Macaca mulatta: one gene and its partners. The protein of the gene in region 5 purifies or fractionates together with the protein of the main gene of each other region. This does not show direct contact. Links are inferred from orthologs where the notes say so. Each region holds a gene or a part of one and is shown on either strand. Other genes may lie near its edges.

Region 1 (4,372 bases), on a different chromosome or scaffold from region 5:
TCGAGACTGGTCCCTGGTACCAAAATTGTTGAGGACTGCTGGTTTAATGGGTACATAGTTTCAGTTTGGGAAGATGAAAAAGTTACGGAGATAGTTGGTGGTGATAATTACAAAACAATCTGAATGTATTTAATACCACCAAACTGTATACTTAAAAATATTAAAATGGTAAATTTTATGTTTAGTATATTTTACACAATTAAAAAAAATGTTCAAGTGTCTTGCCTATTATCCAGTCTTTCTTTTGCTAAATGAATTTGAATCAATTTATACTACTGTATGTTTTTAAAAAGCAAAAAAGTAAAATAACCCATGTAAAATGTATTTTCCTCTAGTGAGTACTAAGCTCATGTAGAAACCAGTACCTCAAGATTTCCTGCTTCTCTTTTAAAAGTCACCAAGAAATATAAATATAAAAAAATGAATCTTCTCAAAGAAATCTGAGGCTAAATCACTCTACTGACAAATTATTTCACTAACATCTTGTGTTTAAGTGTCAAAACAAATACATTTCTGAATTTCCACACTTTTTATTAAGTCTTTCTCCAGAGGACCAATTCACTAGGGAGCCTCCCTGATGTCTAACTGGCATATTAGGTAATAGATAGTATAACAGATGATAAAATAGCACCAAAAATATCATTACCCATTCTCTTGTGTAAACCAGTTTTTAAGCTTTAATTCACTAATGCTTTCCTGCCTTTCAACTCTAAACATGAACAGTTGTAAAACATTCATTACATTTCACAGCCTCTGAAACGAAAATATTTTTACTACATTATAGAATTCGATGACTTGCCCCATGACTTCTAGTGAGTCAGCTTTAAGTATAGAAAAATTCAAGTGGTGCCACCACCCAAATTGGGGCTCACATCTTTGTGGCCCTAACTGATAAAGAAGAAATACATTTCATGCAATCGAAGACTTACTTAAGAAATAACTACAACTTCATCATTTATATACATATATAAGATTTTTTTTTTTTTAACACTGTTGCGGAAAGTTTGAGAAACAAGATTTTTAAAAATAATTCTGCCACATATAAATATACAAAAATAATGAGAGATCACCTTAACTTTTTCAAATTAAAAAAAAAATCCTATGGTCAGCTGATTTTAACTCTCTTTGTCCATCTGTACTATTTTATTTCATTTTGATATCAACCTGTTTTCCTAAACTAAAAAAATAAAAAAACTAAAAACAAAACAAAAAAAGACTTAATTCAATTTAACCAGGAACTGACTTGAGAAGTTAAGGCTTTAATTACTTTTGTTATACTTTTCAAAGTAAAAATATATCTGGTGGGAAATAGTCATCAACGTGTTTGGTGAAAGGCAATGTCAAAACTAACATTACCTAAAATCAAAATTTCACCTTGCCAGATTAAATAGCTACTTACTCATTTAAAAAGACCAATATATGAATGCATAGTGAAGAAGTATCCAGGTAACTTAATTTGCAGTTTTGTGTAGTTCTGCAGATCTGTATGTCTAAAATAACAGCTTTGCATGTGTTTTGAGATGTACACATTCTTGTAAAATTTCTAGAAGGATGTACGAAAGAGTTGAGTGACTACCTTTAAGGTACAGATCGGAAAAGGAAGCTGTTTTTCACTTTATGCTCCGCTCCTTCGGTAAGATGGTTGGAATTTGATACACCATCAACATAATGTTTTTTCAAAAGACTTCTAAATTTCACTTTATAGTTTAAATGATACACTCTGGAAAAACTCAGTTAAAATGTTTTTCATATTTACTTAATCTCCCAGAACTTACCTACTTTGTTGATCTCCTGGTTTGGGGACTGAATACACTCTCTCCAACTCCTCCAGAATCTTTTATTCTTATTCTAAAATTAAAATAATGTTATCCTTAATGCTTTCAATTTATTGTCTCATGTCATAAAAATGGTTGTTAGTTCACTGTCTTTGATGTTTATCTTCACTATGCTTCACTGTGTTTTCCAAAAAGTCACAAACACCAACACAGTTGCTGGAGCTGCAGTAGAGGTATCGCTTGTTCCTTGAAAATCCGAACTCTGACCAAACAGATGGTCACAAAGGACCTCTTTACAACGTCAAGTAGCTTATGAGCTCTCGACAATATGACCCACCAACGGCGATGGCAGAAAAAACATTCACGGTCATTTAGAGTGCTTAAAATTAACTGCAAGACAAAAGCATCCATGGGAGTAAAATACTTTGCCAGCTCAAAATTGTAACTGATTTAGTATAGTTTGCTCATCTCTCTGTTCTGCCATTTCAATGCTGTGGTACCTGAGTCAGTATTATCAAATATCTCTCAAAAGTGAGGCTTCACATCTGTAAAATGGGTAACTGCACCTATCCCACCTAAGTCCTACGAGCACCTCCCACAAAGGGGCTCAAAATGGCAGTACTCTTCCCCTCCCCCTCTGAAAGCTCCACTCTCCCAGGCCTCCCTCCTAAAGCGCCTCCGCCTCCGCAACCGCCCGACCCCAAGCCCCGCGGGGCTGACCGACTCGGCCTGGCCCAGCTCACCCTGGCCACCACAGAGCGCCTCCTCCCTCACAGGAACGCAGCTCCACAGTGGAGAGACGGGAGAATGGTTCCCCAAACTCCAGTGTGGGACAAGTGGGAATGAATGCAGGTCCCAAGCCACTCCCTCCATCGTCACGCCCCCAGGACTCCCCAGCAAACACACTGGAACACCAGCCTGTGCTACAGGAAAAGAAAAAGGACTCAGAGCCACCTTCTCGGATCCGTAAAGGTCCTTAGACTCACCGCGGGGAGGAGGCGGAGTAGGCGACTCCACAGCGCCGAAACAGAGAGCCACCGGCTCCTGGCTGATGCTGAGAGTCGCCCCGAGTCCCCGCCCTCCTCCGCCCCGAAGGGCTTCAGGTGCCCAGGCCGGGCGGGGCCGCCCGGAGCCTCGCGGCGCAGGCGCAGTCTGCAGGCAGCTTTCAACTGCGCGGCATCGGCCAATGGGAACTATTGCTGGGCTCGTTCGAAAGTAAACGGCGGACGGCGCGGCTCGAGGCAGGTGGCGGCGGTCAGATCGAGGCTGGCGCCTAGCTTTCCACGCCTGCGTGCTAGGCGCAGGCCGCCTCTCGGACGTTTGGCCTCGAAGGAGCGGCTCTCTAGCCTGTGGGGAGCTTCGGCCAGTGGGCTTCGTGAGCTGGGGTCCCGCCTGGGGCATCTGGATGGCACCGGTAGTCTGGGGGAGAGGCGGGGTCTGGCGCGGGAGGAGGCGAATCGCCGGCGGCCGACGGCTTCTGGGGAACTGTCTTTTACTTGGAGCCATCCAGGGCAGGGCCTGCTGCTATGCTGTGGAATGCAGTGTCTTCCATCGTTGCCACACAGACCCGCTGCTCCGGGAAGTCGCCACGCATCCTCAGGGCACACCCACACCTGTCGCCAGCGCCCTCCGCCGCTCAGCTGTTTGCTTTTGTTTACGCGTTCCGGAGACCTGACCCACCGGAGCACTGGGCTGAGCACAGGAGAAGGGGTTTTGGAACACTCTTTGTACCCAACTCCGAGAGCGAGTGGGAAACCCGGGACTGGGTTGGGTGCATCTCTCCCTAGCCTTCGTCGTCTTCTCCCGTTTTTCCACTTTACTAAAGTATTGCCTAGAGATGAGGGCTGTCCAACTCAGCACTTCCAACTTCAGGTTCCTACTTCACCTCTAACTCCCTAGAGTTAGAAAACAACTTACAGCTCAGAGGTCTCTTTCCCTTTTTTCTTGAGAAACTTTATTCAGCTTTATCTCAAGACATCTCCGCTTCCCTCTCCTGTCGACCTTAAATAGGTTCAGGAAATATGATTAAGGATAAGAGTTTATTCCAGCGTAAAGCTTGAGGGTAGCCACCCAGGAGACACCAGCTCCAAATGGGGTCAGCATTCCAAAGTGAAGAAGTTAAGGTTTCACCTAGGTGGCCAGAGACAAATTTTAGCAGGATTTCATTTTCCGTAAGAGACCAGTACATACTTACAGCTATTTGGTAGGTTACAGATTGCTACATTCCAAGAAAGAGTACTTCGTTACTCCGTGAGGACGGGTAGTGATCTCAGGGGGTTGTATCTCTGGTATGGTTTGCTCCTCCGATTTTAATTATTTACAGAAACAAAAGGCAGACGGTGCAGATGCCTGCTGCTTGGCTCAGGCTGTAGCCACATTCCTCTCAAGGCTCAGAATAAAGTTCCAACAGCTTTAAGTTTGAATTACTTAACTTCTGATAACTAAAGTCATTTTGTTTACTAATGTGCTAAATAAAGATATGGGCTCTAGACCGGGTGCAGTGGCTCACGCCCGTAATCCCAGCACTTTCGGGAGGCCAAGACAGGTGGATCACCTGAGGTCAGGAGTTCAAGACCAGACTGGCCAACATAGTGAAA
Region 2 (4,266 bases), on a different chromosome or scaffold from region 5:
TTCATAATCTGGCTTTTTGGGTGGTACACAATACCAGGGCTGGAGGGGAAAAGGAACAACTCCATTTCAAACTGTCATCTTTACCACTTGCTGCTTTGACTATGCCCACACTTCCATGCTTCTAAACTAACAAACTGTACAATGTAGGGTCTATTACTACACAGATCTTTTCCCAACCCTCAGCCCCCTAAAGCAGCAAATCCTTACTTGTCTGGAAGAGCAGACACCAGGAACAAAAGGCTCAATGACTATTAGACAGATTAAAGAATAGACAACTGTTTATTTAAAAGCTCCCTAAAGAATTAGAACATTTGAGGCTATACACTGTTCCGTTGAAATGCAGTTATATATTACCCAGATCCGCAAGCACTTGCCAACAGACCTGTCCAAGTCACTCACTTCCTACGAGTTCTGTTTTCTTTTTTCTCCCCTTTTTAAATTCCAGATCCATGTAAGAATAACATGCCAGGTCTGTTTGGAGGAGACATTCCTAATATTTTGAAAAATCTCATTCAGGCCGGGTGCGGTGGCTCACGCCTGTAATTCCAGCACTTTGGGAGGCCGAGGCAGGCGGATCTCGAGGTCAGGAGTTTAAGACCAACCTGGCCAACATAGTGAAACCCCGTCTCTACTAAAAATACAAAACTCGGCCGGGCACGGTGGCTCATGCTTGTAATTCCAGCACTTTGGGAGGCCGAGGCGGGCGGATCACAGGGTCAGGAGATCGAGACCATCCCGGCTAACATGGTGAAACCCCGTCTCTACTAAAAATACAAAACATTCGCCAGACGTCGTGGCGGGCACCTGTAGTCCCAGCTACTTGAGAGGCTGAGGCAGGAGGATGGCTTGAACCCAGAAGGCGGAGCTTGTAGTGAGCCGAGATTGCGCCACGGCACTCCAGCCTGGGCAAGAGAGCGAGACTCTGTTTCAAAAAAAAAAATTAGGCCGGGCGCAGTGGCTCAAGCCTGTAATCCCAGCACTTTGGGAGGCCGAGACGGGCGAATCACGAGGTCAGGAGATGGAGACCATCCTGGCTAACACAGTGAAACCCCGTCTCTACTAAAAAATACAAAAAACTAGCAGGGCGAAGTGGCGGGCGCCTGTAGTCCCAGCTACTTGGGAGGCTGAGGCAGGAGAATGGCGTGAACCCGGGAGGCGGAGCTTGCAGTGAGCTGAGATCCGGCCACTGCACTCCAGCCTGGGCGACAGAGCATGACTCCGTCTCAAAAAAAAAAAAAAAAAAAATTAGCCAGGCATAGTGGCATGCCGATAGTCCCAGCTACTTGGGAGGTTGAGGCAGGAGAATCGCTTGAACCTAGGAGGCGGAGGTTGTGGTGAGCCGAGATCGTGCCACTGCACTCCAGCCTGGGCTGTTAACAGAGTGAGACTCCGTCTCAAAAAAAGAGAAAAAAAAAGAAAGAAAAAAAAATCTCATTCAAATAGCCTCAATAGCTTGAATCGTTTTTTAAATGTCTGAGACAGTGACCATAATTGAACAACCATGGAAAAGAATAGACAATGGGTCTTAAGTGTGAGTGGTATATAGAGTGATTATATAAAATAGCAGGATCATTATCTGAAAACAAGTCACACTACTGTTTGACAACAAAATTAAGGCTTACAAGTGGTTAGCAATAGTTACAAAATAATAGAAGCAACATAGTGATTAAAAGTAGGGATTCTGTCTCCACCACCTACTAGCTGTGAGGTTAAGCAATCTACTTAACCTCTCCGAAACTCGGTTTACTCATCTTTACAATGGGGATAATAGTAGCCATCTGAGAGGGCTGTCGTCAGAATTAAGCAAATGTTAGCTATTAGTAGTAATATTACCCTGATCTTTCAAAGGATCTCATTAACTCACTAATTCTCCTTAGTTTCAAATCTTGTCATTTACTAGCATGTTGCTTCTGGGCCTCGGTTTCCTCATCCATAAAACGGGTACCAGTAAAGTGACCTGACTGTTAAGGTTGCAGTGAAGGATTAAATAACGAGATGCGGCTCCCTTCCTTTCCATCTCCCAAAGCGAATATCGCAAAGGAAGGAAATACTTCTAGTGGCTGCAGATACAGTCAGTTTTTCCATTTCTGGCACGTGAGGGGTGGGAGAAAAAGAAGACACAAAGGGGCACATAAAAGGGTCAGGGGTCCTTCGTTAAGACCCCAAATGCACGCAAGTGGCACAGTGACCCAGAACGACTAGACCACTGGGGGCCCGGCCCCGCGCAACTCCCATCTCGTGTCCCAAGGAGCCTCCCCAAGTGAGCAGGGTTATTTCGGAATCACCATGAGGCAATTCTCATGAGGCAATGGGTCAGGAATGCGGCGCTGAGCCGGGCCGCTGGCGCCCGTGGTTCCCTAGGCGGCTCTACCTGCCCCAGGCCTGACGGGCATCCCCCGGGCTGCCGCAGCCGGAACTCAGGGAGGCAGGAAATGAATGGGGACCCAAGGGGTGGGGGCGCGGTGGGGCCGGCCCCCGGGCCGAGGAGGGACAGGGGACGAGGAGGGAACTGGCCCCCAATCCCGATCCGGGGCGGGAGCCCGAAGCCCGGCCGGGGCGCCCCCTTCCGGACGGGGCTGACCGAATGCGGCGGGGGCCGGGCCGAGGCCCGGGCCGGGCCCCTCGGGGCTCCTCACCTCCGCGATGTCATGTTCCTCCCGCCCTCCGGCTCCGCGACGGACCCGCTCCTTGCTCAAGCTCCACTAGGCTCGGTCACATCGGGCTGGCCCGAGGGAGGCCCGCTCGGGACCGGACGCGGGGCAGAGCCAGCCGGCCGCGCACAGACCCCCCTCCAGGCCTGGGGATCCCGGAGACTGTGCAGCCGCCCCCCAGCCCGGCTCGCTCCTCCTCCGCCCCCGCCCTTCGCCGCCGTCGCCCCCGTGATGTCACCGCTAGCGACGCCCGCCGCCACTTCCTGCTTCCCGTTAGCCGAGGACGGAGCCACGGCCGGGAATGGCAGCGCGGGGGTTCCGCGGAGGCGCTAAGCGCAGCGTCCAAAGCATCCTTGCTTCCTCCCGGAAATCGCGGCCGCCGGGTGTGAGCTGCGCGCTCGGCGGCTACGCCACTCCACCGACCGGGCGCGTCCGGGCCCACTGCCACATCGATTTCATTCATTTCGTTCCACAAATCGCCACTCGACTCATTAGCTGTGGAACCTTGGGGAAATTACCTACTGTCTCCGAGCCTCAGTTTCCTCCATTAGGCTGGGCGCGGTGGCTCACGCCCGTAACCCCAACAATTTAGGAGGCTGCAGCAAGAGTGTCGCTTAAGCCTAGGAGCTAGAGGCCAGCCTGGGCAAAAAAGACCTCATCTCTACAAAAAATGCAAAACCCTAGCCAGGCGTGGAGGCTGCGGCGGGAGGATAACTTAAGCCCGGGAAGTCGGTGCTGCAGTGAGTCGTGATCACGCCACTGCCCTCCAGCCTGGGCGACAGCAAGACACTGCCTAAAAAAACTAGTAATAGACCGGGCGCGGTGGCTCACGCCCGTAATCCCAGCACTTTGGGAGGCCGAGGCGGGCGGATCACGAGGTCAAGAGATCGAGACCATCCTGGCCAACATGGTCTCCACTAAAAATTCAAAAATGAGCTGGACGTGGTGGCGTTCGCCTGTAATCTCAGCTACTTGGGAGGCTGAGGCAGGAGAATCGCTTGAACCTGGGAGGCAGAGGTTGCAGTGAGCCGAGGTCGCACCACTGCGCTCCAGCCTGCAATAGAGCCAAACTCCGTCTCGATAATAATAATAACAAATACTACTTTGGGGTGGGAGCAGTGGCACACGCCTGAAATCCCAGCACTTCCCTTTGGGAGGCTGAGGCGGGCGAATCGCTTGAGTCCAGGAGTTGGGAACCAGCCCCGGCAAAATAGTGAAATCCCATCTCTACAAAAAATACAAAAATTAGCCGGGCGTGGTGTCACGCGCCTGTAGTCCCAGCTACTCGGGAGGCTGAGGTGAGAGAATTGCTTGAGCCTGGAGGGTCGAGGCTGCTGTGAGCCGAGATCAGGCCACTGCACTCAGGCCAGGTATGGTGGCTCACACCTTCATCCCAGCACTTTGGGAGGCCGAGGCAGGAGGATTGCTTGAGCCTAGGAGTTCAAGATCAGCCGGGGCAACATGGCACGACCCTGTCTCTAAAACAAAAAACAAACAAACGAAAAAGCTGGGTGGTGGGGAAGTATTATTTTGGACACTGTGAAGCTCGAGGAAGAGGGCAAGGCCAGAAACGGAGAAGCCAGTCAAAATACGGGAATACTGTAGTATTCTGGTC
Region 3 (3,725 bases), on a different chromosome or scaffold from region 5:
ACAAACAGATTCGCCCACGCACCCAGGATCCCCTCTTTAAAATGCACATGTATACACAAACTGTGTTTTAAACAACCCACCCAACTACACTTACTAAAAGCATCTGCCCTGACTCGGGCTCAGCAGGACCAAGACCTGAACCCCTCCTCCTACAGTCACAGGCCTGCCTATCTAGTCCCCAAACACAGGGCAGGGGTCACAGACCTCCCAGCCCTTCCAAACCCAAGCCTGACACTCGGGACCAGTCAGAGGTCCCGGAATCTCTTCTCAAGCAGGGTTCCCAGCCACCGGTCCCGGCGCCCAGGAGCTCTGAGTTAGCCTGAAAGCCTGACCCATTACTCTTCTCCCCTTTCCCCCAGGGCTGGAACCCCATCTCCAAGCAGACCCTGTGGGTGGGGGGAGGGTGTAGCAGAGGAGGCAGAAAAACCAGCTGCAACACCCCCACCAACCACCAAAACCTCCAAAAATAACAGCAGCCCCCCACACACAACCCACTACACACCAGAAACGCAAAAACAAAATCCTACAAATCCAAAATAAAGCAAAAAAAAACAAAAGCCAATTACTGCCCCCAAAAGGCTTTGTAACCATTCTCAAAAAAAAGTTTATTAAAAGTGTTCTTACTTAATGCTTGAAACGGAAGATTCCCAAAATATACAGACGCCTCTTTTCTCATAGAAATAGATTATTTTTTATAATACAAAAAAAAAGACCAAAAAACAAAACAAAACAAAACATCAACAGCAACAAGCCCGTAGGAACATCTTTAAGCGATTACTCAGGGCCCGGCTGACAGTTACACGTGGGTTGCGTCAGTCCCGTGTACACACGCGTTCAGCCATGTTTAAACCGATTGCATCAACTTCGAAACCGGCCCGCCCGCCGGCGCCTGGAGAGGGGCAGAGGGAGAGGCAGAGAGTTTATCATTCATCTGTACACATAGACGTTTCTTCTTTAAATAACACCACGGGCGGGCGCCCCATCTGCATGTGCGGTTGGTTTGGACAAAAATATAGATATATATATATAATAAAATATTAAAATTACCGACGGGCTCCCCGCGCTGCCAAGTGCCCCAGTGCCAAAGTTTTGCCGGCGCCGCCGGGGGCGGAGGCGGGGGCGCGGGCGCGGGCGCTTCCCGGAGTCTCGGCCCCGGCCGGCAGGGGGACGCGCGCGGGGGCCGCGCTAGCAGTGGCCGGAGGAGGCGAGCAGGGGCTCGGGCAGCTGCTTGAACAAGTTCCGCAGGGTGCTGAGCTCGCGCGACAGCTGCTCCACCTTCTTCTGCAGCCGCTCGTTCTCGGCCGTGAGCTCCAGGACCTTGTGCTGCGTCTCCAGGTTGCGCATCTTGGCCTTGTCGCGGCTCTTGCGCACGGCGATGTTGTTGCGCTCGCGCCGGATCTTGTACTCGTCGCTGTGCTTGTCCACTGTCTTCTTGGCCTTGCTCTTGACCTGCGAGGGCGGCGGCGCGGCCCCCGCGTAGCAGGCGGCCGGGGGCGCCTTGGCGTCGGCGGGGCTCGGCGTGCCGGGCGGGCTGGACGACGAGGACGTGGAGAGGCTCCCGCTGCTGCCGCTCGGCACCGCCTGGTAGCCGAGGTAAGCGCGCAGCGCGTACGGGAAGCCCGCCGCCATGCCTGCGCCGCCGCCCGGCGCCCCGGCCTCCTCCTTCCGCTTGCAGTCCGCGGGCTCGAAGCCCGGCTCCGCCTTGAGCTCGGCGGGCGGCGGCGGCGGCGGGGGTGGCGGGTGCAGGGGCGCGAAGCAGCCGGGGTGCAGCGCGCCCTTGGCGGCCCCCAGGCGCCCCAGGCTCACGTAGCCGTACTCGGCCGGCTTCTTGCAGTTCTTGCCCCCGTAGTCGTCGGAGAAGAGGTCGGAGAGGAAGTCGTGGTGCTGCCCGGAGGAGGCGGGCGCGGGGGCGGGCGCGGGCGGAGCCGCCTCGAAGGTGTCCGTGGCCGTGGCGGGCGCCGGGGCCTGCGGCGCGCCCAGCGGCTCCAGGTACGGGCTGAAGTCGATGGCGCGCTCGTGGTCGCCGATGCTGCCCAGCTCGCCGGCTGGGGGGCGCGGCCCGGGTCTGGCCGCGGGGGGCGCCGCGGGGGCCGCCTTGCCGCCGTACGCAGCAGCCAAGCAGTCCGCCTCGTAGTAGAAGTTGGCCACTTCCATGGATTTAAAGGCAGGCGGCGGCGGCAGGGGGAGACATGCTGGGTCCCAGGCCACCAGGCGTTGCATGAACGCGGGTGCCCGGGGAGGGGGCCTGGGGCTGCCCGCTCCGGCCGGCCCGCAGGTGGCGCGGCCTCCCTGCTCTGAGCTGTCGCCGCTGCGTCGCTGCTGCTGCCGCCGCTGCCGGGGTGGCCGCTATTAGTGCGGGGGCTGGTGGCTGAACCCTCGGGTGGGTCCCCTTCCCAGTCCCGTGCGCGGCTCTGACTCGCTAAAGTTTCTCCTGAGCCCGGTTATTTATAAGGGCGGCCCGTAGCAACCGCTGCGTCACACCGGCCCCTCCCGCCGCGCCGCCGGGACGCGAAGGACACGGCCGCGGCCGCCCGAGACCCCCAGGAGGACGGCGGCAGGGCGCAGCGGAGGGACCGGGCACCCGGAGCGCGTTTTCGGGGGGGGTCCCCGGGCCGCAGGGGGCGGCCTCACGCCCCCTGCCCACCCCCGCCCGGCCGCCCCGGGATTGGGAGCGAGAGGGGGCGGTGCGACCCCGCCCCCAGACCGCCCCTCTGGGCTGGAGGCTGTCCTGGAAGGCGGGGGAATCGGAGGAGGGGGCGACCTGATCGCCTTCCCCCGGAGATGCGGCCCCGGCCCGCCCCCTGCTGGAGGAGGCGGAGGTTTCAGGAGGACCGAGCAGAGCCCCGACGGCGGACCAGGGGCCGCTCCCCGGGCGGAACCCTGGAGACCCCAGCCCGCAACTCTAGCTCCAGGAGAAGCGACCCATCTCCGTAGCCCTTCCCCCTAAACTCCCACCTCTTCCACAGGTCCCCGGCTCTAGAAAGGAGTAGACTCCACGCCTGTGACGATTCCCCTCTTAAGCCACCGCCAATATGAGGACCCCGGGGGTCGGGGGGACGGAGCAGGATCGCGCTGCGCTGGGGGCTGGACCCTGGTCCACGGTGTCCCGCCCCTAGCCCCGCCCACCGCACCTGCCGCCTGCTTGCGGCTTGTACACACCCGGGTCTTCTCTTGCCCCGCGCCGCGCCATCCGACCTGGGCCCTGCCACACTGTGCGACCTTGGATGAGTCACTTCTCCCAGCTGCAGTCCATGAAGGGTGTCGCTACTGTCAGCGGTGGTGGCATTGCTCCCACCAGACTCCCAAACCTAAGGCTTACGTTGTGGGCTGCACATCAGAGAGAAAGGGACCCCCATGGATTGTGCCAGTGGAGGCCCAGAGGGAGCATGGCATGGCATACCAAGGTCACATGGCCGCATGTCCCCCATTCATCCCAAACGAAATGCCCTCATCTGGGCCCTAAGACCTATTGCCAGCCCCAGAGGCCAAAAAGCTTCTGTTTCTGAAGCTGCTGGGGAGGGGCTTAAGCCAGGCCTCACGGGAGGGGGGTGGCATGCAGGAAACAGAGAAGGAAAGAGAAAGAGAAGTTTTTACCAAGTCCCTGCCCTGTGCTCAGGGTGGGCCTGGACCCCGAGGTTCTTTTTCACCCCACCAGGAAGATGCTTTTGCTGCTGCCGTTTCACAGATGGGAAAGTGACAACGGCCTGCCTGGACTTGAACACAGA
Region 4 (3,635 bases), on a different chromosome or scaffold from region 5:
AGGCCTAAGAGACAGGAAACATTTAGCATGTTGGTAAACCATTTTAGCACATCAGCAAAAGCATATAAACAGCTTTAGGACTGGAAATTATTGCCATGGGGAAAGGCAACAATTAGAGGAACAATTCCAATTAAAAATGTAAAGATTGGTTCTTTAGATTAATTCTTGAGTTGCTCCCCTATGCCTGTGTAGCAGAATTCAACAGATAATCATGTTAAACAGGAAATTATATTTTAAAAATAAACTCTGAAATTCATAAAAAGGAAAATGTTAAAGAATGTAAAATTACACTGGTAGAATTTTTTTTTTTTTTTTTTGAAAATGGAGTTTCACTCTTGGTGCCCAAGCTGGTGTGCACTGGCATGATCTCTGCTCACTGCAACTTCCACCTCCTGGGTTCAAGCAGTTCTCCTGCCTCAGCCTCCCAAGTAGCTGGGATTACAGGCACGCGCCACCACGCCTGGCTAATTTTTTGTGTTTTTAGTAGAAATGGGGTTTCACCATGTTGACCAGGCTGGTCTCGAACTCCTGACCTCAGTTGATCTGCCCACCTCGGCCTCCCAAAGTGCTGGGATTACGGGCATGAGCCAATTGCGCCTGGCAGACATTTTTTAAAATAGAAAAAAGTAGTCCATTCATGATGCATGAATTAAAGAAAATATTGGTAACGTGTATGGTAACAGATTAGTAACTGAGAACCCAAAGGCTGCCCCAGGTTGCTTCGAATCCTGGTTCTGTTCCAGCTGTGTGACCTTGAGCAAACTACTTACCCTTTGTTTCAGTTTTTTCACCAGGAAAATGGGTTTTAATAGGATTGTTGTGTGGATTTAGTTAATAAGGAAAGTGTTTAGAACAGGCTTCCAAAATAGTAAGTGTTATATGTGTTAGCTATTATTAATACATCCCAAATTTCCACTGAAGAAAATCTTCCCTAATTTGTATATGGGATTGTCAGAAAACAAATGGAAAAATCATAGTATAAACAGCCCATATGGCTGTAAAGGATTACACAAAACACATGATCTTTCTGAAGTAGTTTTTTTAAAAGAAAAAAAAATAGAACTAACTTGTCCTCCCTTGATTTTCACTTTTTAGAGTGGTGAAACCAGAACAATATCTCACTTTCATTATACTACCTGGCCAGATTTTGGAGTCCCTGAATCACCAGCTTCATTTCTCAATTTCTTGTTTAAAGTGAGAGAATCTGGCTCCTTGAACCCTGACCATGGGCCTGCGGTGATCCACTGTAGTGCAGGCATTGGGCGCTCTGGCACCTTCTCTCTGGTAGACACTTGTCTTGTTTTGGTAAGTGCTTCTTGCGATCTCATTTTAATCTCATTGATTTTTTTTTTTAATTGCTTCCACTGGCAAGGAAGAAGCACTGATGTTGTATCATAGAACTGAGGTTTTTCAACTTTTAACTTCTACTTTTGGAAAAACCTAAAAATCTCATTTCCATGTTTGCAACTGCGTCTTATTCATGACTGGTAGAAATGTATCCAAGATGATTTTAGAGATTCCTAAGAAGATGTTTTTCTTCCTGGTAGCTTTATATTACAGAAATAATAGGTCTCTTCCCCTCATTTTTTCAAATATAAATTCATATGTAATACTGACTTCCTCCTCAGACAAATACTTTATCTCATTTTTTTAAATTTAAAAACTAGGGATAATGATAGACATATTTCACAGGGTTGCTGTGAGAATTCAATGAATTAATACATTAAGGGACACTAGAAGAGTCCCTGGTGTTTTCTGAGCATTCCATAAATGTCAGTATTACTGTTACTCGCCTGAGGTTCCTGTCTGTGCCCCTAAGGGCTAATTCTTTCTGCACCAGTCAATCCCAGTCCCAGCCTGTATACAGCCTAAATCTTTTTTTCTCTTTTTAGGACCTTTATTTTTTCCTTACTGGCCTCTTTCCCACCATCTTTAGATGGGTGCTGTGTATCCAGACATCGTGTCTGTAGTGCAGACATGAAGGAGGCGGAAGGGCAGTGAGCAGAAAGGTTGACTCCTGCCATGACTTTAAAAAAAAAAAAAAAATAGTCCTTATACTAGTCAGAACTGATTATAAATCCTTCCTTTAACCAATGACTGGCCAGAAGGAATGAGATTACTATGATTGGTTTGGAATCAATTGTGAATCAGCTGAAGAATCAAAGTCCTCCATCTACTTGAGTGGTTGAGATGTGGGGAGGGATGAGTAGGCTGGGATAGTTGCTGTGTATGTAACAGTTATAGCTGCAGGGTTAAATTATCGTTATTTCAGAGGAGAAAATGCAGAGCAAAAATCTTAGCAATGATCCTGCATTGATTCTGTTTCCTGGGTTCCAGTAACAAAAGATTTGTCTGATATTTGCCTTTCTTGCAGATGGAAAAAGGAGATGATATTAACATTAAACAAGTGTTACTGAACATGAGAAAATACCGAATGGGTCTTATTCAGACCCCAGATCAACTGAGATTCTCATACATGGCTATAATAGAAGGAGCAAAATGTATAAAGGGAGATTCTAGTATACAGGTAAACTTTATACACATTTAAAATCATATCTATTTGTTAAATACACACAGCATCAAATAACTGCACCCCACTTGAGCCCTTGTCGTCTTTGTTTCAAAAAGTATGTTTGAATTTTTGTGGTAAATCCAATTGGCTGTCTTAAAATTGTAAAATTTTAGCTAGCTTCCTCATATATACTCAGCCTCAGGTTAAATCCTGTCTGTCACTTAAAAGCCCTTGTAGAAACAAGATTTCATTAAAGAAACTGAATTTTTCATTTTGGGGGTGGTTAAGCTTTTAATTATTAAAGTAGCTGGAAACTTCAGATACTTTTGCCCTCATTACACACTAATACTTGGTTTATATAATATTTGACTTTATAACAAGCACCTTGAATATTTATGGCAGATATAATGAAATTCCAGCAAAATGTTACATTCTTCTGGTTGATGGCTTTATTCTCATGAAGCTATTTTTACTGCATATTTGTAGAACCTAAATTCAAAGACTGATCAGAAGTTTGTGTTATGCACTAAGTTAAAATGTAAAATAGAAACAACCACAGACTCCATTTTTTGTATGGTTTAATCACGTCGTATTGGACGTAAGCAGATACTGTAAATTGATGCGTAATATAAGATAGACTGACTTTTCATTCTATTTCTCGTATGTGAACTTATTTACTAGCACTTTCATTTCTGTGATTACTAGCCAATACAGGAATATAACTTAGACCCTTGGTGTCAGAATAAAGGTTTATTTTAAAAGATTTTTTCCAAATCTTTAAATAGCATTAAAATATTCTTAATGAACATAAACCTTAGGGTACTCAGAGCCAAAATACTCAATGTGTGGAAAACTCAGCCCACAGAACATGTCCTGCTTCAGACACTAGACTTAGGGAACATTGGGTTTCCTGGGATTACTTTGGCAGTGACCAGTGATTTCGGTGAAGTAAAAGTTATTTCAGATGTTTAAGATTAGGAAAATTTCCCTTTCTAATCGCAGTGAGCTTTCACCAACTTAAATCTGGAGTTCAAAAAGAAAATCAAGTAGTTCAGTCAGATTTCCCCATGCCTTCACAGCCTGCTTCCTGGCTGTGGTGAGGTGGGTCACTGGGAGGGAAGTG
Region 5 (3,635 bases):
TCCCCAGCTCAGTCCCCACTTCCTCCGCAGACCCACTCCTTGCCAGTTGTGGTGATCTCCAACATCTGTCAGATGCCAAATGCCTGGGCGTCCATCCTGTGGTACAACATGCTGACCAACAACCCCAAGGTTAGTACCCCCTCCTTTTAGTTGGTACCCCGGGATCTCTTGCGATGTATGGGTACCTAGTACAGACAATGAGCACCATCCCTCATCTAAACAAGCAAATGTGTTCTTTCCAATAGAACGTAAACTTTTTTACCAAGCCCCCAATCGGAACCTGGGATCAAGTGGCCGAGGTCCTGAGCTGGCAGTTCTCCTCCACCACCAAGCGAGGACTGAGCATCGAGCAGCTGACTACACTGGCGGAGAAACTCTTGGGTCTGCGTTTAACCCCTTCTCCCTCCCGCCTGCCCAGAAAAGGGATCCGGCCCACAGGGCTATTCATTTGGGTCATGTCTACTGAGCGTTAGGCCATGTTTCTTTCCTGAGCAAGGTGCTGTGCTGGTGCCAGGAAACAGGGGCTCCATCGAGTTGGGGAGTTGGGGTACAGAGACAGTTTGCAGTTTTCAGTCGAGGTGATCATTTTTGAGGTGGGAGGTGGATTTCTTTTCTCCTGGTTGCTGTCTCATTCACCCACTCCAACTAACCTTAGAAGATCTTTTAAATGTGTGTTGGAAGGTGGCACTAAAGGCTTGACATTCCCTGTCTATTTCTTTAATAAACTACAGGCTAGGTTTTTTTTGTTTTTTTTGTTTTTTTTTTTTTGAGAGACAAGTCTCGCTCTGTTGCCCAGGCTGGAGTGCAGTGGTGCGATCTCGGCCCACTGCGACCTCTGCCTCCCCTGGGTTCAAGCAATTCTCCTGCCTCAGCCTCCCAAGTAGCTGAGACTACAGGCGCCCACCACCACGCCAAGCTAATTTCTGTATTTTTAGTAGAGATGGGGTTTTACCATGTTGGCCAGGATGATCTCCATCTCTTCACCTCGTGATCCGCCCACCTCGGCCTCCCAAATTGCTGGGATTACAGGTGTGAGCCGCCATGCCCGGCCTAGGCTAGGTTTTTAAAAAATAATTAGTGGAGGCCAGGCGTGGTAGCTCACGCCTGTAATCCCAGCACTTTGGGAGGCCAAGGTGGGTGGATCATGAGGTCAGGAGATCAAGACCATCCTGGCTAACACAGTGAAACCCCGTCTCTACTAAAAATACAAAAAATTAGCCAGGCGTGGTGGCGAGTGCCTGTAGTCCCAGCTACTCAGGAGGCTGAGGCAGGAAAATGGCGAGAACCCAAGAAGTGGAGCTTGCAGTGAGCCGAGATTGCACCACTGCACTCCAGGGTGGGCGACAGAGCGAGATTCCGTCTCAAAAAAAAAAATAATAATTAGTGGAATATTTTATGTGCTACCTGGGCTAGAAGTAGCTTTGTCCTAATAAAGCTGTTGCCACCAAATACACCTGTCTGACACCTGATGTCAGCTTGTTAGTGCTGCTGCTGGTCCCCAGCCCGCCACCCGAGGCTGGGAAGAGCAGGGGGACTTGTTACATCACCCCCTATCCGTGCTGGGCTACCCAACAACAAAAGTGGGTCAAATGATGGGGTAGTGTTTGTCCTCGTGTGTGCACACACACAACGGTGGCCACGTTCAAAGATGTGAAAGCCAATGATTTTGTGGCCCATTGTGGGACCAATGTGTGTGTGTTCTGCTTTAAGAAATAACCTCTTGACCCCAAGCGGAAAATGTACTAGTTGATTCTTTTTCTTTTCCTTCAGGACCTGGCGTGAATTATTCAGGGTGTCAGATCACATGGGCTAAATTTTGCAAAGTAAGCAATCTTGTAAAATTCTCGTGGGAATGGGAATGCCTACCTGCACGGCTGTCGTGGAGGGCTCTGGCTTGAAGGCCCTGAACTCTTGGTCCAGCAGCCAGTAGGACCTGCCTGAGGGTAGATGGGCCTGAGGAGTTGGGTGGTGCACTGTGCCCCTAGGAAGGGAAAGGCTGGGATGGCAGCAGACTTGGCTTTCCCATTACTCTTTTCTGCAGGAAAACATGGCTGGCAAGGGCTTCTCCTTCTGGGTCTGGCTGGACAATATCATTGACCTTGTGAAAAAGTACATCCTGGCCCTTTGGAATGAAGGGTAGGTTGGACAGAGTGTGCACAGATGTAACCAAGTCCCCTGCTCTCAGCAAGCCAGTGGCAGGGGATGGATGCCCTGTTAGCAGTAACAACACTGTTCCTCCTCCTTGGCTCCAGGTACATCATGGGCTTTATCAGTAAGGAGCGGGAGCGGGCCATCTTGAGCACCAAGCCTCCAGGCACCTTTCTGCTAAGATTCAGTGAAAGCAGCAAAGAAGGCGGCGTCACTTTCACTTGGGTGGAGAAGGACATCAGTGGTAAGGGAGGCTCCCACCCACCCCACCTGCTGGCGGCTGCTGAGGCCTCATCACCGCTGCTAGTTCCAAGCACCTACTGCCCCCTTGTGGTGGAGATGGCACCGACTCCCTGCCTCACTCAGACTCGCAAAACACATTTGGGTGACTTCTAAATCCTTCTAGCTGAAGGATTGATTTGTCTTTGTTTTGCTTGCTCCAGTGACTATTTGTTGAGAAATTTGCAATTTAAGTTGTATTCTTCATCCCTTTTTCTACTTAGTCCTGTTAATATATCTTACACAAGTAGTTACATTCAAGTTTATTTTCTATGACCCAACTGGTAGCCTCTTCTAAATTAGAAGCCAGCCTGAACATTTCCACCGTGCCAGGCCACTCACTGAACAGTGTGTTCAGGGTCTCAACACTAGGGTGGCTTAAGTTTTTTCCCCTTCGAGAAAAGAAAAAATGGGCAGTTTTCTCTGAGATGACCTAGCTGTAGGTTCCATGATCTTTCCTTCCCATGTCCCGTGACAGGTAAGACCCAGATCCAGTCCGTGGAACCATACACCAAGCAGCAGTTGAACAACATGTCATTTGCTGAAATCATCATGGGCTATAAGATCATGGATGCTACCAATATTCTGGTGTCTCCGCTGGTCTATCTCTACCCTGACATTCCCAAGGAGGAGGCATTCGGAAAGTATTGTCGGCCAGAGAGCCAGGAGCATCCTGAAGCTGACCCAGGTAGTTGTTGATTTTCCATGTTCCTGGCATTTAATTTTTGGGAAAAGTTAGAAATTTGGGGATCCTTGGAGGATAGATAGGCAAATGCCTGAATAACCTGGGGGATCATTATTTCTCCTTATGGGAAAGAACTGTAGTGAGTGCTTTTGTTGGGGTGACCGATGGGATTTGAGAGGAGAATCAGAATCAGTTAGACTAGTGCAGTTCCTGCTCCACAGAGAGTGCATGAGTCTAAAGAGGGGATACAGCTTGGACAACAAAAAATACAAAAAAATTACCCGGTGTGGTGGCACGCATCTGTAGTCATAGCTGCTTGGGAGGCTGAGGTGGGAGGATCACCTGAGCCGAGGAGTTCAAGGCTGTAGTGAGCGGTGATCGTGCCACTGCACTCCAGCCTGGCTGATAGAGTGAGACACTGTGTCAAAAAATACAAATAAAGAGGGGATTAATACACATACGTCCCCCGAAACATGCCAAAAACACGAGAAGGGAAAGTGAGGGCAGTTAACGGATGCTCAGC
Region 6 (3,635 bases), on a different chromosome or scaffold from region 5:
ATGACTATGTCTCAACATTGAACAAAGATACAAAACCATGATTAATAGAAAATTAAGCCCTACCAGGATCCAAATATTGTGTGGTTGGCAAAGCCAACTGATTAGGTAAGCCTAGTATACCAGTGCCACAATTCACCTAATTTAAGTTTGTGCCTCAAATTGGCAAATTACTACACGGTTCTGGATTTTAGGAATCATATGCAAATCAGTTGAAGGTATAAATGTTACATAACCAAACACCAAGGAACTGTAAACCTTCCCTCACAATTCTAAAGTTATCTTAATACTGCAATGTCTATGTATAAATAAAGTGTATCATCAATCACAAATAATTTTCACTTACCTTCCATGTTGCAGACTTTATGTTCATAGTTCTTCCTCGGCTAGTTAGGGTACACTTCATTCTGAGAAAAAAGCTTCGCTGTGTGTTTTGTTCTTTACCCTTTTTCACAGGGCCTAATGAAAGCATGAAATAAAGTTTTAAAGCAACTAAATATACAAATTTGTTACAATGAAAGTAGCAAAGTGCCCATCACCTAGATCAACTGAATACCTGTTCAATTAAAAGTCTCAGCATGAACACAGTAATTCATTCCCCTTTTACTCACTCCAGCACACCCAAGAGATCTGACACATACTACTCAGTAGCTCTGATTCCCTGAGTTGACTGAAAGATAATCCGTATTTGGGATAACAGTTAATCATTCAAGCAAGTAAGTTTAGTCAAACTACAGAGAAATATAAAAATGGTATGAGTTTGCTCTTTAACTGTGCTATTGGTACACAAGAATCCCTAAAGAAAGAACTTCAGCAAACTCTTCCTATTCTTTCCTGAATGTGTTAGCTCAATTTCTAATAAGCACTCTATGTATTTACAGAACCTTTAAAATAGCAACTTTCTTTTTAATAACAAATAACATTTTTACATATCTTATTTTTTCCCCTTAATTTATCTAGTAAAGCAGGCAGAAAATTATTTCTACTTTGTTACTATAAGAAAACAACAACAGATCAAATGACTTATCAAAAGTTACAGAAATAGGGCATGGTGGCTCATGCCCGTAATCCCAGCACTTTGGGAGGCTGAGGCAGGAGGATCACTTGAGGTCAGGAGTTCGAGACCAGCCTGGCCAACATGGTGAAACCCTGTCTCTACTAAAAATACAAAAATTAGCTGGGTGTGATGGTGGGTGCCTGTAATCCCAGCTACTCGGGAGACTGAGGCAGTTGAATCACTTGAACCCGGGAGGCGGAGGTTGCAATGAGCTGAGACTGTGCCACTGCACTCCAACCTGGGCGAAAGAGTGAGAATCCATCTCAAAAAAAAAAAAAAAAAAAAAAAACTACAGAAATAAAGTAAAGTCAGAATTAAGTAAAGTCTATTCACTCCTATTTCAAACCTTCTATAACTAAAAATGAGATTATATTTAGGTGACTAAGGAAATAGCATCTTGCTGGGCATGGTGGCTCATGCCTCATGCCTGTAATCCCAGCACTTTGGAGGCTGAGGCAGGAAGATCACTTGAGGCCAGAAGTTTGAGACCATGCTGGCCATCATGGTAAAACCCCATCTCTACTAAAAATATAAATATTAGCTAGGTGTGGTGGTGCACGCTTATAATCCCAGCTACTTGGGAGGTTGAGGCGTGAGAATCACTTGAACCCAGGAGGCAGAGGTTGCAGTGAACTGAGATTGTGCCACTGCACTCCAGCCTGGGTGGCAAAGTGAGACACTGTCTAAAAAAAAAAAAAAAAAAAAAAAAAAAAGGAAATAGCCTCTTGATTTCTTATCTTCATTGGTCAATGTACTTCAAAACACATATAAAAATATTTATTATTTAGAACCTGGACTAGAGATTGCAGGCAATACAAAGATGAGTAAGACACACCACCTTTCCTGAAGAAGTTAAAAATGTAGTAGATATAGTAAGGTCAACAAAAACACAATGTAGAGTTGGTACTTGAGACTTATAAAAATGCTTTAAGGGAGGATAGGGAGAGCTTAGAGGAATAACTTCTAGTCAAGGGGAATCAAGAAGTCCTGCTTAGAAAAAGAGACATTAGAATGTCAGTAAGTAGAGATGGGTTAGAAGGTTCCAGGGAGAAGGAAGAGAATGAAAAGCACAGAGGTAGGAAAAATAGGACATGTTTGAAAAACTGCATATAGTAGTTTGTCCACAATGTAAAGTACACATAGAAGAGTAGGAAGGCAAAGTCAGAAGGGAACGTTAGGGCTGTACTACGGAGGCCTGTGGATGTCCACATGGAGTCCTGCCTAAATATTCAACAAGGGGCTTTTAAAAAGCACAATCAGTAACTTAAGGAAAATTAACTTAGCAGCAATATATATGTTAGAATTACGTGACTGTAATGAGAGGGCTGAGCCAGTAGCAGTAGTATGAGTGAAAAGAATGGTGGTAAAAGACAAATGAAGAGGTAGATCTTAATAGACTTGAAAACGGATGGAAATAAGACAGGAGAGAAAATCAAATCTAGAAATTGTAATGCTAGTATATTGGAAGAACACTGTCAAGTAGAAAAGAAATGAGAGTAAGTTTAAATGTAGGCATGGTTAGCTAGAAATACTGGACTCTTAAGGAACAAGATGAATTCTAGCCTATACTCATTTAATAATGGAACTAGGCAAGATGGGCAGTCCTGGTACTGATGCATGCCACTTGTGTTTACTTAGATAAGAAGTGAATTTGCCCTCCCTGGAAGGATTCAAGAGTATATTTTTAAAAGATGCCATGAGAGCAAAGGGTGGGGGTGGGAGGCGAGGGGAAGGGAGGGAGTGTGGGAGGGAGAGAGAGAGAGAGAGAGAATGAGTGTGTCGTGTGTGTACGTAGGTGGTGATGGTTGTGGTAGTGGCAGTAAAGATCCACATGCAAAATCCTTTGGGTATGTTCAGTCCTTCATAATCTAAGCTTGAATTATACTGACCTTTGAAAAGAACCCAAGGCCTTTGAATGGGGACCTGCAGATTAATTTAAAAATCAAGGTAACTGAAAAGTACTAGTGTTTTCCTAATGAGGAAAAAAAACACAACAAACCATTAAAAAAAACCCCTAAATTTTAAACTCTCTAAAAATAAGTCTTATTTTGTAATAATTTATAAATTCTAAAGCATTTTTCTAGAATTTATACGGAAGAATAATAGGACTGTTTGTCCTATTATAAACACACCACTGGCTCTCAGTGTATCACTAAAATATGATGCTTTGCAACAGTCCCTAGTTTCTAAAAGAGAAAAATCTGCATTTTAGTTTCCCAATGGAACATCAATAATTCATAACCACATTAGGAATGATTTCAAAATGTTTGTGTGCTTTAAAAAAGAACATTTGGTTCGAAACATACATTTAAACTATATTAAGACTATCTGATTTAGAATAATGCATTAACATCATTACCAAATCAGAACAAGACTTCCTAATATCCATCCATTTATAGTCTAGCCCCAGGGAAGCACTGAGCAGTCAATATAAACCTCAACTCTGCACATTAGAACTCATATATTAAACTCACTGACAGCCCACTTAGGTCCTTGCTCATCGCATATTTACTCCTCCTTTATACAGAATTCTAAAAAGTACGCATTTGTTTTCCAAATTAACAGTAAAAACACAATATGA
Region 7 (4,198 bases), on a different chromosome or scaffold from region 5:
TAGGCACAAGAGGATGGATAGGGAAAAGCGCAGGGCAGAAGAGAAGAAAGTCAGAAAGCAGAGTCCAGGGGTAACCCCCCAGGGATGAGGGAGGAAGACTGGAAGAGATGTACCTGGATGTAAGAATCTGCTGCACTTGCTGGGGTGTGAGGGCAAAGGTAAAGTGCGCTTCCTCAAACCGCTGGCTAGAAGTGGATGCTGAGGATACAAAGGGGCAGTTATTCCAAGCCCATGCACAGGCAGCCACAGAAATCACCCCCATCCCAGGTCACTGATCCCATAGGACTAAAGCCTAAGAAATGTCTGGGGAACAGGTAGGGAGTCCAGAAGACTAAGGGACCACAAAGAGCCATACCAAGGGTGGTGGGCCGGATGAGCTCCCCGTAGACTTCATAGAAGGGCAATGGTTTCATGGTGACATCAGGGTGCACAGGCTGGGCAAGAGAGGGGTGCATGTCCACCTCACGCTTGGGGCCCAGCAGGGTGCCAGGGGCCAAGAGGGTTGGGGGAATGGGAGCTAGAGGACCAGGGGAGCCTACAGGAGAGGTGCCAGGAGGCAAAGAGAGAAGGGAGAGGTCAGAGGGCCCCAGGGTCTTCCGGGGAAAGCGTCGTCGGTAAAGCTCTTTGATCTTCATCTGGACGCTAGGGGCACAGCTGGACTTCAGGAGGTGCAGGGCCTTGGCCAGGAGCTCGTGCTTCCGCCCACTCTTGTTCCGGCCAGCAAAGCCAAGAAGCACCTGGAGCTCAGACACCCGGAAACTCATCACCATGTGCTGTGGAGAAGAACAGAGAAGCTTGAGAATCCTCCGTTGCACAGGCCTGCCCTGCCAAGACATGGGCTGAGCTACCAGGTGGGCAGTGCCTTTTTCCCTCCAGCACTGATGGGAAAGATGATGCTTCGCAGCTAGTGGATTACTGCCAGGTAGTCAACCTATCCAAAGGGACATCTCAGTCCCACTTTAGCAACCATCAGGTCAGCATCATCACCACCCCCTGCCCACCCCAAGCTTGAGCAACACTGTCTGTCTCCCCAGGCCTGGAAGTGGCCAGAGTGGGGCAGGGAATGGCAGACAGCAAGCCACCCTCAGACACACCTCCAAGTCTACACAGCCTCCCGCCTCCAACCCTGCCTCTAGTCTGGACTCTCCTTTAAGCTGCTTATCTCCTCTCTTGCCCTTTCTCAGACACTCAAACTCATCCCAGCCTCCTGGGAAGAGGATAGGAGACAGGGAGAAGGAGGGAGAGACAAGAGGATTCAAGCCAGACAGCCCCACGGGGAAGAAAGGGGCCAGGTGGCTGGAGGATTGTGCCCTTCAGCCCACCCCTCCAAACCACCTTAATTCCTCAGCTATTTCCCCCAAGCCTCTGAAGCTTCTGTGGGCCGGGGTTTTCAGGTCAGGGTTCAATGCTCATTACTCCCCCAGATCCTTTCTTGGAATCATTAATATAACCGCCCCCTCCCCACAACTTAGTCCTATTTTTCTGGAAGGGAAACAGGACCAAAACTTAGGTTGAGGAGATTAACAGTGATTCACTGAGTCCAAGTATCCTGCCTGTTTACTCTATCTGCCAGGAACCATTATCTGGCGTCTCTCCTACAGAGAGAAAATAATACTCCTGTACAACCTACAGCCCCCCTACACGGGTGGAAGAGGAGCGGGCAGAGCTCTAAACAGAGGCCCTGGGTGGATGAAGGAAAAGCCTCTGAGTCAGGGCACAGAATCGCAAATTTCCTGAAGGTAGCTGGGCCCAGTGGCTAGACCTCCAGACTGCCCAGGACCATAGCTCCATTTCAAAGGGCAGAAGAAAACCAGGAGGCATGGGGATGAACTCGGTGGTTTAAGGTTCTATGAGATGTCCTCAGACGTGGTCACCCTCCAAACTCTGTGTGGCAGAAGGAGGGGAGCGCTCTCCTTAGAGGGAGGACTCCCTTCTGTGAATCTCTAGGAGATCCTGTCATGGGCAGGGCTTGCTAGCCCTACACAATTCTTCTCACAGGAGGCTTTGTCTTGGACCCCTTTTGTGGAATGTGATGAGAAACTTGCTCCTCTTTCTCCCAATCTTTATCTTCTCTGTCCTGTCTTATTTTTTCCATTAGCTTTCCCTATAACTTCCCTCCTTTCTATCTCATAGTTTCACATGCCTCTGCCTCTGCCCAAACATCGCGATTCACTAAGGCAGGACCTTCCTCTGAGCCTCCAGGATGCTTCTGCCCCACCCCTCGAGGTATCAGCCCGCACAGCCCCGCCCCCTGCATCTCAGCCGCCTACTGGTATTTCCCAAAGCTCGGATCCCGAGAGTAGCCCCAAAGACCCTACCCTTTCAGCTGCCTTTCCCCCGGAGCCTCCCCTACATCTGCCCCGCGGTCCCATCCCTGCATCTGCCCCCTACTGTCGCATCTCTTGGCCTCGATCGACTCGCCCCCAGTGCCTCTAGAGCAGCTTTTCCCCCTGGCCCTACCCCAACAACTGCCCCTACTACTAAATCCGACTTCTACCCTTCGTCCCCGCCCCCTGCGCCTCAGCCCCCAACAGCTGCAATTCCCCTCGGCCCCACCCCTACATCTGCCCCGCAGCCCCGCCCCCGGAGCCCCGCCGCAGCCCCTTCCTCGCTCTCAGCCACTTCTTTCCCATCCTCAGCAGCCCGTGCCTGCCACGTCGTCGGCGCCCACCCGAGCCCCGGCACCCAGTCTCGGTCGCTTCCCGGACACGGCGTACCGCCGGAATCAGTCCAGATGGGGATGGGGGAGGGGGCCGGTACCTTTAATTCGCCCAGCTCCGCCATCTTGAGACATCGCAGGCGCCCTAGCCGGAGCCGGAGCTCAGGCCCAGGGACCGGCGCACAACTCTCCACCCCGGCGCCGGCCGCAAATGCCGCCTGCTCCGCCCCGTCCGGCCCCCTATACCTCCCCTTCCCGGCCCCGCCCGCCTGGCTTCGGACTAGCCCCAGCCTGAGCCCCTCCCTCCACAGCGGACCCAGCAGCTACACGTCTGCGGCGGGTTGGCAGGACGCGTAGCCCCGGAGGGAGTTTATGGCCCCCAAGATCGCGGGGTCCCCTAGGGCAACGAAGAGGAGGCGGGTCCGAAGTGCCTGGTGGAGGGGGGCTTTGCCACGGCAGAGTTGGGAGGGGACAAGCTTTTAGAGAGCCAAAGATACTTGAAAGATGGAGGGAAAGTATCGGGAACTGCTAGAGCTCAGAGAAATGGGGGAGGGGGTAGCGAAGTTGGAGCGCAAACCCTCATCTCCATCTCTACATAAGTTTAAGCAACTAAAATCGAGAGGTCTTCCAACTCGGGAAATGGGCGAGCGCTGATCCGTCTTAGGGAAGCCGTGGAGTCGGCATTCAGTTCAAGACAGCTATACTCAATTCACCCTCTCCTCCTCCCCCCAACACCAACTACAATGCAGCTCGTGGTCCGATCGTAGGACTCAAACTCAGCAGCAAAAAAAGTTTGGTGCGGGGAGCGGGACTTACCAGCACAGTTGTGGGAAATGGAGAGAGGGTTCGGGAGGCTCAGAGGGCGGGCTGGAGAGGTGGGGGCATGGGGCTCGGCGCCGCTCCTGCTGTCCGCACGGCAGAAGTTCGGTCCAGCGGCCGGACGCGGCGGCCGCGGCTCCGCCCGGGCCGGAGCTCCGCCCGGCCTAGCGCTCGGGCTGGGGCCGCCCCCTCCACGGGAAGCCCGCCAGGACCGCCGAGAGGGAAGGGGGGCGGAGCTCGGGCGAGAGAGGGAGGGACTCAGAGCCTGGCGCTGGAGCGATTAACTCCTGGTGTGAGTGGATCTGGAGAGATGAGATCCTTGGATCCCATCATTCTCACTACCTCTGTGACCCCTCACGCTTATGTGTGGGATTGGGGTGGTGGCACGCTGCTGCTAAGGCCGTGTGAACCAGGTGTCTGACCGTATAAAGCAGTCTTCCTTGAAATGACAACTGTCTCTCCCTAGGGCAAAGCCTGGGCTACTGAATCCAAAGTGTACCTAACAGTAACTACTCCAGATACCCCTGCACAGTACCTCCACCAGAGCCCCCATACCTTTGGTGTAGCTGAAGATGAATTGAGGGGTTTTCTTGCCAACAAAAGGAATCTTTCTGTCCCTCTCTGAACTACCTACTCACTCTCCTTCCTCCAAAGCCTTGGACCCTCCAGAGGCCCCATCCCAACCAAGCTGATCACTCACATGCAGGCCCAAGATTAAAT

What was found.
Region 1: the proteins of STAT3 (region 5) and TRIM59 purify together in Homo sapiens (affinity purification with western blotting; 4 studies listed by BioGRID). This does not show direct contact. The link is inferred for Macaca mulatta from reciprocal best matches to the Homo sapiens genes STAT3 and TRIM59.
Region 2: the proteins of STAT3 (region 5) and PTPN11 purify together in Homo sapiens (affinity purification with western blotting; 3 studies listed by BioGRID). This does not show direct contact. The link is inferred for Macaca mulatta from reciprocal best matches to the Homo sapiens genes STAT3 and PTPN11.
Region 3: the proteins of STAT3 (region 5) and CEBPB purify together in Homo sapiens (affinity purification with western blotting; 3 studies listed by BioGRID, with this or other methods). This does not show direct contact. The link is inferred for Macaca mulatta from reciprocal best matches to the Homo sapiens genes STAT3 and CEBPB.
Region 4: the proteins of STAT3 (region 5) and PTPN2 purify together in Homo sapiens (affinity purification with western blotting; 7 studies listed by BioGRID). This does not show direct contact. The link is inferred for Macaca mulatta from reciprocal best matches to the Homo sapiens genes STAT3 and PTPN2.
Region 6: the proteins of STAT3 (region 5) and HIF1A purify together in Homo sapiens (affinity purification with western blotting; 4 studies listed by BioGRID). This does not show direct contact. The link is inferred for Macaca mulatta from reciprocal best matches to the Homo sapiens genes STAT3 and HIF1A.
Region 7: the proteins of STAT3 (region 5) and PIAS3 purify together in Homo sapiens (affinity purification with western blotting; 5 studies listed by BioGRID). This does not show direct contact. The link is inferred for Macaca mulatta from reciprocal best matches to the Homo sapiens genes STAT3 and PIAS3.

The regions. Positions count from the first base shown.
Region 1 is NC_133407.1:63,616,574-63,620,945, forward strand, and holds the start of TRIM59 (tripartite motif-containing protein 59), read right to left. Parts: upstream 2,849-4,372; 5' UTR 2,762-2,848; intron 2,585-2,761; exon of another isoform or gene 2,519-2,584; intron 1,849-2,518; 5' UTR 1,776-1,848; intron 1-1,775. UniProt on the Homo sapiens protein: E3 ubiquitin ligase involved in different processes such as development and immune response. Serves as a negative regulator for innate immune signaling pathways by suppressing RLR-induced activation of IRF3/7 and NF-kappa-B via interaction with adapter ECSIT.
Region 2 is NC_133416.1:119,657,139-119,661,404, reverse strand, and holds the start of PTPN11 (tyrosine-protein phosphatase non-receptor type 11), read right to left. Parts: upstream 2,837-4,266; 5' UTR 2,651-2,836; coding exon 2,637-2,650; exon of another isoform or gene 1,365-2,636; intron 1-1,364. UniProt on the Homo sapiens protein: Acts downstream of various receptor and cytoplasmic protein tyrosine kinases to participate in the signal transduction from the cell surface to the nucleus. Positively regulates MAPK signal transduction pathway. Dephosphorylates GAB1, ARHGAP35 and EGFR.
Region 3 is NC_133415.1:103,041,793-103,045,517, reverse strand, and holds CEBPB (CCAAT/enhancer-binding protein beta), read right to left. Parts: upstream 2,422-3,725; 5' UTR 2,221-2,421; coding exon 1,186-2,220; 3' UTR 581-1,185; downstream 1-580. UniProt on the Homo sapiens protein: Important transcription factor regulating the expression of genes involved in immune and inflammatory responses. Also plays a significant role in adipogenesis, as well as in the gluconeogenic pathway, liver regeneration, and hematopoiesis.
Region 4 is NC_133423.1:83,486,533-83,490,167, reverse strand, and holds part of PTPN2 (tyrosine-protein phosphatase non-receptor type 2), read left to right. Parts: intron 1-1,095; coding exon 1,096-1,305; intron 1,306-2,374; coding exon 2,375-2,527; intron 2,528-3,635. UniProt on the Homo sapiens protein: Non-receptor type tyrosine-specific phosphatase that dephosphorylates receptor protein tyrosine kinases including INSR, EGFR, CSF1R, PDGFR.
Region 5 is NC_133421.1:66,665,806-66,669,440, reverse strand, and holds part of STAT3 (signal transducer and activator of transcription 3), read left to right. Parts: intron 1-30; coding exon 31-129; intron 130-245; coding exon 246-381; intron 382-1,770; coding exon 1,771-1,823; intron 1,824-2,041; coding exon 2,042-2,136; intron 2,137-2,252; coding exon 2,253-2,392; exon of another isoform or gene 2,393-2,478; intron 2,479-2,870; exon of another isoform or gene 2,871-2,905; coding exon 2,906-3,118; intron 3,119-3,635. UniProt on the Homo sapiens protein: Signal transducer and transcription activator that mediates cellular responses to interleukins, KITLG/SCF, LEP and other growth factors. Once activated, recruits coactivators, such as NCOA1 or MED1, to the promoter region of the target gene.
Region 6 is NC_133412.1:134,833,454-134,837,088, reverse strand, and holds part of HIF1A (hypoxia-inducible factor 1-alpha), read right to left. Parts: intron 457-3,635; coding exon 344-456; intron 1-343.
Region 7 is NC_133406.1:119,438,275-119,442,472, reverse strand, and holds the start of PIAS3 (E3 SUMO-protein ligase PIAS3), read right to left. Parts: upstream 2,802-4,198; 5' UTR 2,785-2,801; coding exon 2,761-2,784; intron 774-2,760; coding exon 356-773; intron 199-355; coding exon 114-198; intron 1-113. UniProt on the Homo sapiens protein: Functions as an E3-type small ubiquitin-like modifier (SUMO) ligase, stabilizing the interaction between UBE2I and the substrate, and as a SUMO-tethering factor.